Linked DNA regions of Canis lupus familiaris. The protein of the gene in region 3 interacts with the protein of the main gene of each other region in a pairwise test. Links are inferred from orthologs where the notes say so. Each region holds a gene or a part of one and is shown on either strand. Other genes may lie near its edges.

What was found.
Region 1: the proteins of RAB11B (region 3) and MYO5B interact in binary tests that used the Homo sapiens proteins (3 or more experiments, as listed by UniProt). The link is inferred for Canis lupus familiaris from reciprocal best matches to the Homo sapiens genes RAB11B and MYO5B.
Region 2: the proteins of RAB11B (region 3) and RAB11FIP2 interact in binary tests that used the Homo sapiens proteins (3 or more experiments, as listed by UniProt). The link is inferred for Canis lupus familiaris from reciprocal best matches to the Homo sapiens genes RAB11B and RAB11FIP2.

What each region holds. Positions count from the first base shown.
Region 1 is NC_049228.1:79,081,752-79,085,336, forward strand, and holds part of MYO5B (unconventional myosin-Vb), read left to right. Parts: intron 1-639; coding exon 640-791; intron 792-2,332; coding exon 2,333-2,422; intron 2,423-3,585. UniProt on the Homo sapiens protein: May be involved in vesicular trafficking via its association with the CART complex. The CART complex is necessary for efficient transferrin receptor recycling but not for EGFR degradation.
Region 2 is NC_049249.1:28,754,943-28,759,140, reverse strand, and holds the start of RAB11FIP2 (rab11 family-interacting protein 2), read left to right. Parts: upstream 1-1,378; 5' UTR 1,379-1,530; coding exon 1,531-1,883; intron 1,884-4,198. UniProt on the Homo sapiens protein: A Rab11 effector binding preferentially phosphatidylinositol 3,4,5-trisphosphate (PtdInsP3) and phosphatidic acid (PA) and acting in the regulation of the transport of vesicles from the endosomal recycling compartment (ERC) to the plasma membrane.
Region 3 is NC_049241.1:53,362,247-53,366,408, forward strand, and holds the start of RAB11B (ras-related protein Rab-11B), read left to right. Parts: upstream 1-1,344; 5' UTR 1,345-1,963; coding exon 1,964-2,003; intron 2,004-2,687; exon of another isoform or gene 2,688-3,067; intron 3,068-3,420; exon of another isoform or gene 3,421-3,894; intron 3,895-4,162. UniProt on the Homo sapiens protein: The small GTPases Rab are key regulators of intracellular membrane trafficking, from the formation of transport vesicles to their fusion with membranes.

The DNA.
Region 1 (3,585 bases), on a different chromosome or scaffold from region 3:
TGCTGGCAGGCTGGACGGGGCTCAGGCGTCATGCCCTGGCACTAGAGGCCACAGAGAGGGGCTCTGGACACTCCTCGGCCATCCTGGCTTGCCGCTGGCTCCAACCATGTCTGGGCTGCAGCTGCCAGGTAAATAGCCTCCAAGCGGATTGCTAAGTGGCCCCTGCCCGGGCCCTGGCACATGGGGTCTGTGTGGGAGTACGCGGTTTGCCAAGCTCTCCAGGGGCCTGCCCTTGTGGCTGCGGCAGGAAGTGGTGTCCGCTCGGAGCCCCCTCTGGCTGGTGGGTGAGCTGGCCTCTCGGCGCCCAGGGCAATGTCCCCTGAGTGGAGACCTGAGTGGTGAGCCACCTGTGGGCTCGTTTCCTTCATATCATCAGGACCAGGCATGAGGAGCAAGTTTCTCTAGTCCAGGCAGCCAGGAATGTGCTTTGGTTAGTTTGGAGTATTTAATTAGTTTGTGAAACAGGGTCAGAAGGTGTCCCACTTGGGCCTGACTCCTCCCACCCCAGCCCTCCCCCAGCCCCCATGGGAGGTTATTCTTAGGTGAGCTTCAGGGAAATATGGAAAATCTCTGTACTTCAGTCTCCTCAGAGCCCCAAGCACCTGCTATCATCTAATTCTCACTGCTTGTTGCTGTTAGACCTGAAGCCGCAGATGCTGACGGGCTCAGTGCCCTGCCTCCCTGCTTACATCCTCTATATGTGCATCCGGCACGCCGACTACATCAACGACGACCTCAAGGTGCACTCCTTGCTGACCTCCACCATCAATGGCATTAAGAGAGTCCTGAAGGTAGGGGTCCCAGGCCCGGGGGTGGTGCTTGGCAGCCGGTGTAGGGAAGCCTGCAGCTTCCCCAGCCTTGCCCTGCCCAGGCCACCCTCAGCCCTGAAGGTGACGGACAGGAACGCAGAAGCAGCTTGCCGATGGAAGTGGGCAGTTTCCAGAGAAAGGATGCTCAATCTTAGAAAGGACCCCCAAATCCACTATTGCCATCCCACCGCCTGCAGGGGCCCTGCGACTTTAAAAAGCCATGACCAGAGGTGGAGGAGGATGGTCCGCCTGATTCAGGGGCAGGCTGACCCCACAAGCTGAATACAGGCCTTGTCCCAGACCTTCCCAAGGAATTGGGTGCCTGCTCCCCAGGCAGGTGGTGGCACAGGAAGGGTGCATATGCTTATCAGTCTCCAGAGTGAGGGGGCCCAGGCCAGGACAAGGCTGCTTCCAGGGCACAGAGGGATCCCAGGTGGTGGCAGCCGCTGCAGTAAGAGGCTGGTCAGGGTGCCGAGGCTCAACTGTGCAGGAGCTATGCTGAGCGGTGAGGCCTCAGTAAGAGCGATGGTCCTTCCCCACAGGCCCAAGCCCCAGGCAGCCCTGCCCTGGTTCTCACACACACACTGCCACTCTGGGATGCATGTCATCTTCAAAAGTGCGGAGTCCAGATGCTGAGACCCACTGAGCCTCTGTCACCTGCATCCCCTTTCCCTTCTGGGAGTGAGCGAGCTCCAGCTCATAGCTTTGAGCTTCATGCCAGCCTGGTGTTAGTAACTGTACCTCTGGCTCGGCTTGGCCCGGCTGGGCCTTGCCCTGCACCACAGAGGCAATCTTATCCACACTTGGCACTAAACAAACATGCTGGCGACACTCAGATCTGGGTCCCCTGCCTTGACCCCTAGCACGGGCTCTGCCCGGGAGCTTGTACCAGTCTGAGTGAGTTGAGGGCTGGCTTCAGGCCATTGCCTCAGGGGAAGCTTTCCTAACCACTGGGCTCCGCTAGCTGTGCCCAGCCCTAACAGTCGCTTCCTGTCCGACTCCCTTGTTTTATTGTCCTCAAAGCTCCCACCTCTGACATTAGGCAGGGATGGTTTTAGCTGACAAGGTGAGCTCGGTTCAGTCATTGACCCTAGGATAGGAAACTATCCTGGCTCTTGGGTTTTCATCCAGGTATGGTTTATAGTCCTTTTCCAGAGGGTTGAAACCATTGGGTATCTGATCGCTCAATAAATATTTCACTGGCATGCTCCGTCCATCCCTTAGGTTGGATCACGAATAGTTCGGAGCAGGGCCAGCGGCCTCGTGGTCAACACACAGCCCAGGCTGCACAGCTGCGTCCCGGTGACGAGGGGACCCAGGGAGGGGTCTCTGCGCCATGCTTGGTAGTGAAGGGATGGGACTGCCACCCCTTGACCAGGATCTCCTCTTGGGGACCGGCCATTGTCGTGTCTGCTGGGAGCATGCTCAGTAACTTTGGAAACCTGGAAAGAGAAGCCCCAGGTGAGCATTTTACCAGACAGCGGAGCCCTGCTGCTAATGGGGGTTGTCCTTTTCTTTCACAGAAGCACAATGAGGACTTTGAGATGACCTCATTCTGGTTATCCAACACCTGCCGCCTCCTTCATTGCTTGAAGCAGTATAGTGGGGATGAGGTGAGTGCTAAGACAAGCCCAGCCCCTAAAGGGCACCTGAGAACCACCAAAGTACCCCCAAAGCCTCACTTCCTGGGCCATAGCGATGTGCGTCCTGCTTCAGGGCACCTCAAATCTCAGCTCAGAAGGGGGCTGGGGGTATCGTGGGAGGCAGTCCTCTATCCAAATATGCCCCCACCCTGAGAGGATGTACGGTCTTTGGGGTGCCCTCTGGGACCTCGGGCTCTGAGCATACCTTCCTCTGTCTACCTGGTAGCTCAAAGCAGGAGCAGAGAGGGCACAGGATACCTGTCTGCTAGGTGGCCTCAAGGACCCTGCAGCCCCAGAAAGCACCCTGAATCAAATGAGGTGGGGAAATGAGCTTATATGACCCATCCATTATCCGAGAGCCACTGGGACTCTCCAGGGAGACCCTTGTGACCTGACCTCTCTGGAGCAGCCCCCTTTCAGCGAGCACTGGAAGGAAGCTCAGTGAGTTGTCAGATGTGTGACATGATCTCCTCAGCCAACCAAGTAGTTAATCCATCTGAAGGCGGACACGGAGAAGAGGCACAACACAATCAAACTACATCTGTGCACCTTGACCTTAAGGCCCAGCTTCCCGCTTCTAACCAAACTTGATTCCTTGACCTGCTGCCCTCCTGGGTACATTATGTCATCCTCTACTCTGGACTCCGAGGGCCCAGCTTCGTCTGGAGCCCACATTCCCCCACTCTGGCCCCTGAAGGAACGGTGCCCATGCTCTGCATTCAGCCCAGCAGCTTGGTAACACAGGGCATGTCTTCACTCTGGTCTTTCTATTAAGAATCCCAGTTCATCCCAGACACCACTGCCAGGCCCCTGGGGGTTGCCTCAACCTCCCTTTCCCCCCTTACACTTTCACTTATATTAAGAATAATGTATCAAGAGACCTGAGACCCAGAGCACACTATAGCCAGATCCATGTAGTCTAAACAAAGAGGGAAAATATATATATATCTTGTCTGTCACAGTGATTTTTTTTCTTTTACCTGCCTTTTGGTTTTTATTTAAAAAACTGCTGTGTAATATGAGTTGGCAGGAGAGGCTTTGCTGGGGATGGTCACCCTTTTGAAGACGCTGAGCTTCTTGGCTGCTTTTGGTTTACCTTGGCCTGACTACAAAGGGATGTTGGTCACATGAAT
Region 2 (4,198 bases), on a different chromosome or scaffold from region 3:
CCGTCCGCAGCCCTTGGTGAAGGAGAGTCCTCTCTGGGTTCGGCTTCAAAAGGTGGATAGTCTACACAGTGAGCGCCCAGGGGGTGTCCTAGCCCCCGAGGAAGCTGAGGCTCGGGGAGGGGCGAAGACTTGTCCAAGGTCACACAGGCTGATGATGGCAGACATGGGGGGGGGGGGGGCGGGCGGGGATCAGCTCTTCTGACTCTAGCCCCAGTGTCTCTCCCGATCTTTATTGATTCCTGTGTGGTTCTGGAACCTTCCATCTGCTTTCCCCCTCTTCTTCCATTGGAGGTGGAGGACGTCTTCCCAGTGAATTAGAGAAGAGTGGGTAAGGGGTTGGGGAAAAGGGTGCTTTCGGTCAATGAAGAGGGCCGATGCGCCGCGCCAGCCACCATCTATCTGACACCCACCCGCTCTGTGCCAGGCGCCAGGCATCCATCAGGGCGCAGGCAGCCAACACGCTTTCCAAAGACCGAACCCGGGTATCCCTCCCCAGATCGGGCGGGCCCGGGTTGCGGCTGTCACCCCTCAGGAGCGCTCCCCCCGCGCCCCCCGCGGCAGGCCGCCCCGCCCGGTCCTGGGAGCCCAGCGCCCCTGCAGGCCCCCGCGCCGGGCGCGACGCCGAGGAGGCGCACCCAGCCCCGGGCCCCGGAGCTCGCGCCGCGCGCCGCCGGTCGCCACGGCAACCAGGGAGGCGCTGACCCCTGACCCCGCCGGCCCCGCCCCTCGCGTTCCCGAGTTCAACATGGAGGCGGCCAACCCGGAAGTGCCGCCGCCGCCGCCGCCGCCGCCGCCGCCCGCCGGGGGTTGGGAGCCGCGGGCCCCGCGAGGCTGAGCCCGGCGTCCGCCGCCCTGACAGCCGCTGGGGCGCCGCGTCCCTGCCCTCCCGGTCCAGCTCCGCGGCCAGGCGACCCGCCCCGCCCCCGCCCGAGAGGAGGAGCCGAGGCGAGGGGGAGGAGGCGGAGGAGGCGGAGGAGGAGGGCGAGGTTTGCTAGAGGGAGCCAGGCCGCGCGAGCCGCCGGCGGTTCGTATTACCGGGGTCGGAAGGAGGAGCCGGGCCGGGCCCGCCGAGCAGCGCGGGCGGGCGGGAGGCGCGGAGGCGGCGGGGGTGCGGGCCGGGGCCGGGGGCGGGGGCGGCTCCGCGCGGGCCCCGGCGGCCAGGCCTCAGCCGCCCGCAGGCCCGGGAGCCGCCCGCCGCCGCCGCCGCCGCCGCCGCCGCCGCCGCCGCAGCCCGGGGCCGGTCCCCGCAGCGGGCGGCGCGGAGGCGCGGGCGGCTCGGCCGGGGGCGGCGGGGATGCTGGGCCCCCGGGCCCCTGCCGCGGAGAGGGCCCCCCCAGCGCAGCCGCGCCCCCGGGCCGCCCCAGCGAGGCGCCGCGCCGCGAGCCCCGGGCCCGGCGGGCAGCCGTGAGCTCGCCTGCCGCCGCCGGGTGCCCGGAGGATGCAGTGATTCAGGAATTAGGCTCTCCCCGCGGGAGGGGCTCGGGGCGCCGAGGGAAACCACCACCACCACAACCCCCCCAAAGACCCAGAATGATGCTGTCCGAGCAAGCCCAAAAGTGGTTTCCTACCCACGTGCAGGTCACAGTGCTCCAAGCCAAAGATCTTAAGCCAAAAGGCAAAAGTGGCACCAATGACACATACACCATAATTCAGCTGGGCAAGGAAAAGTACTCCACCTCTGTAGCTGAGAAAACCCTTGAGCCTGTCTGGAAGGAGGAGGCCTCCTTTGAGCTCCCTGGATTGCTAATGCAGGGGAATCCCGAGAAATACATCCTTTTCCTCATAGTTATGCACAGGTCCCTGGTGGGTCTGGATAAGTTTTTAGGGCAGGTGGCAATCAACCTCAATGACATCTTTGAGGACAAACAAAGAAGGAAAACAGAGTAAGTTATGTAATTTATTTTGAATTTGGGGGAGATTATCTTATTTACGGATTTTCTGTTCTTGGAAATTATTTGGGGCATTCTCTCTCTCTCTCTCTCTCTCTCTCTTTTTTTTTTTTTTTGGAGTGAAATATGACCTAGTTGTAAGCACCATGGTTGCACGAATCTGGAGTAAAACATAGCCCTTGTGAAGAAATATATATATATTTTTAAATGGAGGCAGTAATGATCCATTACTCTCGCATTTCTGGTTAAGGTAAACATGTTAAATAATTGAGTATTTTGCACCGGATTTTAAGCAAACTGACATGGTTTTCACCGCTTGTAAGAGGACTTGATCACAGTGCTGACCACCTAAAACTTGTGTGAGTTGCTGTGATCGTTAAACACTACAGTTTGCCAGGAAATGGAGAATTAAATCTGTCAATATAAGGTCTCATGTTGAATTTTGAAGTTGTCTAAAGGTCTATTACCAAATTTAGAGGTCAGGATTTCGTTTCAGCTTTAGAAACACAAGCTGGCCGGTGTTTTAGCTCAGCCATCTTTCAGGGTCAGTACATCTCGATGGAGTCTAGAGCTGTTGAAAGAAAAAAATTTTAAGTGTGTACAAACATTCGCAACCTTGAATGCACGCTGACATTTTTCTGTGAATTCACAACCTATTGGAGTTCGTGTATTACTTCGGAAATAGTTCTGTAAAGCCCGCGTGTTGCAGGTAGTGATGGAGTTCTTGTGATGAAGTGATTCAGGGGCGTCTTCACTGCAAACACGTCCTTTTACCTCTGACTTTCAAGCTCAGGAGAGATACGTTGTCATTTAAAAAAGGATGATATAAATTAACACTTGGATGTTATGTCTTAAGTCGGAAAATTACATGTTTTCGGAGATACAGATATACTCACCCTTCCTTAAACCTGATCTGAGAGAACCTTGAAATTAACGGAATTAATGAGAGAAAAATATAGGTTGAGTTTGTAAGAGGACTTCAAGTGTCCAAAGCAGCTTTGGTGTTTCCCACGTGACCGAAATTTATTTGCCCTTTTGAAAACTTTTGATAATGGTAACTTTCTTGAAGTTCATGTCCATTTCATATTACATTTTTACAACAAGTGTGCCTTACTATATTCTCTGTACATCTTCCTGCAAGCTTCTCTTGATTGGAGTTTTTATTTTTATTACCTTTTTTTTTTTTTTAAATCAGGACTTTATGTAAGATTTAGTACGTGAAAGGTAAAGGGATAGACAGATAAGTACTAGGAATGCAAGAGGAAAAATGGTAAATATTTACTCAGGAGATAACAGTATTTTAAGAAAAAGGAGAGAAAAGTTTTAAAAAAATGTAAAATTGAATGTATATTGATGATTTTTGATAAGTGTTTGCTACCTACAAAATGGTATTTGTTACCTACAAAATTTCCTCTGAGGAGTTTTTCATTAGTTTTTCATTAGCTGAAAGATAGATGATCACCAAGCAGTTTGTTCAAATCACCAATTTTGGATGAAACTTACCCTATGATATTTAAAGTGTTTTGAAAGTAGACTTTCTAGTATATTGTAACTGCAAATGTTATGCTGCCTTTTTTGGTACTTTTTATGTTAATGAGTGACCTATTACAGGCCTCCTATGAAATCTAAATTTTCCGAGCGAAAGTAGGCCCAACTGTGAATCCAGAGATTCAGAGGATGAAGTGAGCTTTTAAAATTCCTCCTTGCTTTACTCCTTATCTTTGGCAACATCCGAATTACAATAAATTTGGCCATAAGTAACTCTCCTATCCTGGTCTCCCTACAGAAATTCTCTATTGGCTACTAAATAAAATTGATTAGAACTTTCAGGAGGAAAATGCTTTTAAATGTTCTCAACAGGGCTTGTGATGTTATTGCATGCAGAGTGATTTTCAGATGTTATTAAATCCCATTTTCTTTGTGGATAAATGAGGACCACATATTTGATGAGATATCTTTATTGGTAATATTTCTAGTTTTTTAATATATTTAATAGCTTCCTTTTCCAGCACAGCTGTGCATGTGGTACAGTACAAGATGAACTTGGGCCACCGGTGTATTGCAAGAAAGATATTTAATATTCTGCACAGTGCTGAGCCTTGTCGGCATATCCCCAAGTGCTTTTTAGAAAACCAGTATGAGTGATGAAGGCTACCAGCTGATTTAGAAGTCCCATGAAACTGCTGGGTGTGACATTTTATACTCTTGACACTGAAGACAAGTATTTACAGCTTGTCTTCCAATTGTGTCATGATAGGCAAAGAAGTGTGATGGCTAAAACTATTATTTTACTTATTTTTATAATTTAA
Region 3 (4,162 bases):
CCCGGGGTCCTGGGATGGAGTCCCACATAGGCTCCCTGCATGGAGCCTGCTTCTCCCTCTGCCTGTGTCTCTGCCTCTCTCTGTGTCTCTCATGAATAAAATAAAATAAAATCTTTTAAATAAATAAATAAATAAACAAAAGACTCCTCTGATTGAGGCCCTTGACCCTCTCAGTTTGTAGAGTGCGTGACTCTGGATCTTGGGGTGGTGAGTTTGAGTCCCCGTTGGGCATAGAGCTTACTTTATTAAAAAAAAAAAAAGACTGACCGCAATGGAAAGAGCATACTGTGTGGGGTGAGGGCAGGGCAGGGAGATCTGGGGATAGACAACAGCTCAGGTCCAGGGAGTGATGATGGGGCCAGGACTGAGGTGGTGGGGATGGGGGGTGAGTAGTGATCAGAAATGTAGGATGGAGGAGGAACACAGCAAGACAACTGAAGGAAAGAAGGGCAGGAAAAGCAGGAGGCTAAAAGCTGAAGAGAGAGGAGTCCATGACCTCTGGCCCTGAGATGGTCAGTGGGGGGAACAGAGGTGGAGGGTAGTGTGGGGGACATGGAGTCACAGGAGGAGGAGTGGATGCTGGAAAAGAGGCCAAATTAGTGTCTGGGATGCCTGTTGGAAAACACAGGGGTGAGGTCCACGAGGCAATTATAATAATTACAATTATAGTTAAAGTGATTACATTATTCATCACCCATCAAATAGTTGCTGAGCGCTGGGGTCACAGCACCAGCAGTGACAGACAGTGTCCTTCTTGCCTTCATGGGTCTCGTGTTCTGTTGGCAGGGCACTAAAGACATGAATGGGTCAAGAAAGAAGCACATTTTTTTTTTTTTTTTTAAATACGCTCTGGGCCCAAGTGGGGCCAGAACTCATGGCCCGGAGGTCAAGGGTCGCTTGCTCCACCAAGTGAGCCAGGCAGGTGCCCCCACAAACATACAGTCGGTCAGGTAGTGATAAATCCTCCGGGGCGGGAGATGGGATAAAACAGGGCAAGGGGATAGAGAAGGGGGGCATCGTGCTGCAGAGGCCTAACGTGCAGAAAGGGCTTTATAAATATTTGTTAAATACTTAATGACAGGGAATCCCTGGGTGGCTCAGTGGTTTGGTGCCTGCCTTCAGCCCAGGGTGTGATCCTGGAGTCCCGGAATCGAGTCCCGCGTCGGGCTCCCTGCATGGAGCCTGCTTCTCCGTCTCCCTGTGTCTCTGCCTCTCTCTCTGTGTCTCTCGTGAATAAATAAAATCTTAAAAAAAAAAAAAAAAAAAAAAGACTTAATGACAGAGAGCAGAAAGTTGATTTGGTTTGTCTTTAGGGAGATAATCCAGTTTGCCTCCAAAAATTTCATCAAGTTTAGTTTCTCCTATCCTGCAGCGGGGGAAATTGAGGTAGAGGGGTATCTTAATGACTCAAATATAGTGATGAAAACCCAACCCCCCCAAAGGCCTGTAAACGGTCTTTTAATGTGGGTGAGGGGAGGAGGCGGCGAAGGGGGAAAGCAGAGCAGCGCCCATTAACCTATGACGTCATCGGGACGTTAAATAGCGTAACATCACCTGGACGTAGCCCCATTTCCCTTCCCGGACAGGTCCTCTGGTACTCCCGGACCGCCTGAATCAAGCCTCTCATTGGTTCCCCGTGCCATCAATCTGTTTCATTCTTGCAGTCTTCCGCCCCGCCTTCTAGAGTCCACCTCTGATAGGCTGACGCGGCCGTCACTTCAGAAAGGTCCGCATTCCTTCCGCCTTTCTCCAGGAGACCGAAGGCGAGGAGGGTGGGTCCCAGGCGGCGCCCACCCCTGAGGCTCTGCTTCCGCCTGTGATTGGCTGCCCTGGGTGCCCGTCGCTACGCCACCCGCCTCTGATTGGTGATTCAGCCGCCGCTCTGTGCGGCGCCGGCTCCGCCCCCGTCGGGTGTTTGTGGTGGGGCTGCGGAGTCGCCGATCCCGCCGGAAGCGCCAGGACAATGGGGACCCGGGACGACGAGTACGACTACCTATTCAAAGGTGCGGTCGGTGGGACACAGACGGGCGAGGGGATGGCGGCGAGGCAGCGGGCGGGCGGGCTGAGGCTGCGCTCCAGGCCGCTGGGCCCAGGCCGGAGCCCGAGTCTTGGGGCCCGGCGGTTAGGCAGCCGGGAAGGCCGGGGCAGTTTGGGCTCGGCCAGCTTTGGGCTGGAGTGCGCGGCCGTGCGGAGCGGGCGGCCTAGGGAGGCCTGGGGGCCCTGGATGCGCCGAGGCGGGGCCGGGGCCCGGAGGGGGTGGGGCCCCAAGCGGTGGGAGAGGCCGTTAGGGGCGGAGCCTCTGGGGGGCGGGGCCTCCCCAGCATTTGGCGGGCCGGGCTGGGTAACAAGCGGCCTCCGTGCTGGGGGCGGGGCCTCAGGAGGCGTGGCTAAGGGGCGGAGGGCGTGTCCAAGAAGTGGGCTGGGACTGGGCGCGCGGGGGTGGGGCTCTCGCAGAGTGGGAGGAGCCTGTCCTGATTGGTGGCAGCTCGCCTGGGGGCGGGGCCCGGAGAGCGAGAGGACGCGAGGGGCTGAGATGTGTGATGGGGGGGACCCTGGATTGGGGGCTGACCCAGAACTGTGCGGAGGGGCGCCTGGCGTGGGGGGAGGAGTGTGTGTGCTGGGCTCAGGAGATAATAGCCACCTTCTTTTCTCTGTGGATCCGGAAACTGAGACCCAGAGAGACAGGGCACATTTGAAAAATGTTGGAGCAGGATTTGAACCCAGGTCAGCTGTGGGCTTTAGCCTGGCAGACCACCTCCCCCCGCACCTGCGTCCCCATGGGCCGGGCTTCGGCCAACCTGCTGCAGGATAGTCCCTGCCCAAGGGACAGAGGGCTCTAGGAACCTCCAGTGCGGCTGTGGCAGGTCAGGCAACTGCTGCTGGCCCAGCTCCCTCACCCTGCGGCTGGAGCTGGGGAGACTCCTCCCATCGCTGGGGTTGTGGCCTGACTTGAGTCACAGGCTTTGGGGGCGCCCGGCCGGTTCAGTCTGCAGAGCATGCAATTCTTGATCTCTGGGTTGCAAGTTCAAGCCCCAGTTTGCGTGTAGAGATTACTTCAAAATAAAATCTAAAAAAAAGAAAAAAGAAAAAAAAAGTCACTGACCTCACAGTGCCTCCTGTGCCAACCTGGGCTTTGGCCAGGTCCCGGGCGGTCTGTTCTGGGCTCCCTGACTGACAGTGGTTGCCCATGAGAGCTAACCCTAGGCCCGCTTGAGGCACCTTTGCCCTGCTGCCTGCAGTGTGAGGGTCTGCTCTCACACCAGCTGTTGGCACCGTCCCTTCACTGGGGAAACCTGACTGTCCCTGGGAGCGCAGTCCATGTCCATCAGTGACCATCGTGTCTGTAGTGTCCTCCCGCATGCTGGGGCTGGAAGCCTGGGGGCCTTGGGGATGTGGAGAGTGGGGTGGCGCGCTCCCTACCTGGGATGTCCATGTGGTGAAAGGCTTCTGGGCTGGCGGAGTGTCTACGCAGAGGCCCAGAGTTGTCACGCAGCATCATGGGCCTGGGGAGCTGCATGCAGGCTCATATGTCACTGGCAGGTGAAGCTGTGTGGTCAGCAGGTATCAGGCCAGGGCCCCGATGCCCACAGCACTCTGGGGTATCACATGAGAGCCAGGGGAAGCTCTGCCCGGGCTTTGGGGACTGGCCACAAGTGGCCAGGACTCCATCTTGCTGCAGCTGGGGCCAGAGGCGGCCGTTCCCCAGGTCCCGGTTGGGTACCCCCCTGAATGTGGACTGCCAGGGCCAGAGGCATTTCCCCCAGTAGTCACCTCCAGCTTTCTATGGCCATTTCCCCCTTGTTATTTTCAGCCGCCTCCTGTTATAAATAACCCAACACTAGTCATCTTTTTGCCCTTTGTGTTATTTCCTTGAAGTATGTTCCCAGAAGTACAGTTACTGGGTCAGGGGCAATGGAGCGGCTGTGTGCTTCCTGGGACTCATCTCCAGAGTCCACTTCCTGGAAGCACAGATCTGGCTTCAGTGGCAGCAACTGGCACAGTGGGGGGGGGGGGGGGTTAGGAGCTGCCTGCCCTGCTGCCCTCCCCCACTAGCCTCCTTTTCTCAGTCAGCAGGTGTCCTGCTGACCTTCTCAGGCAGGGTTAGGAGTGAAAGTCGAGCCCGCAAGGGCCGTGTTTCCCAGACTGCCGTCATCTGAGACCT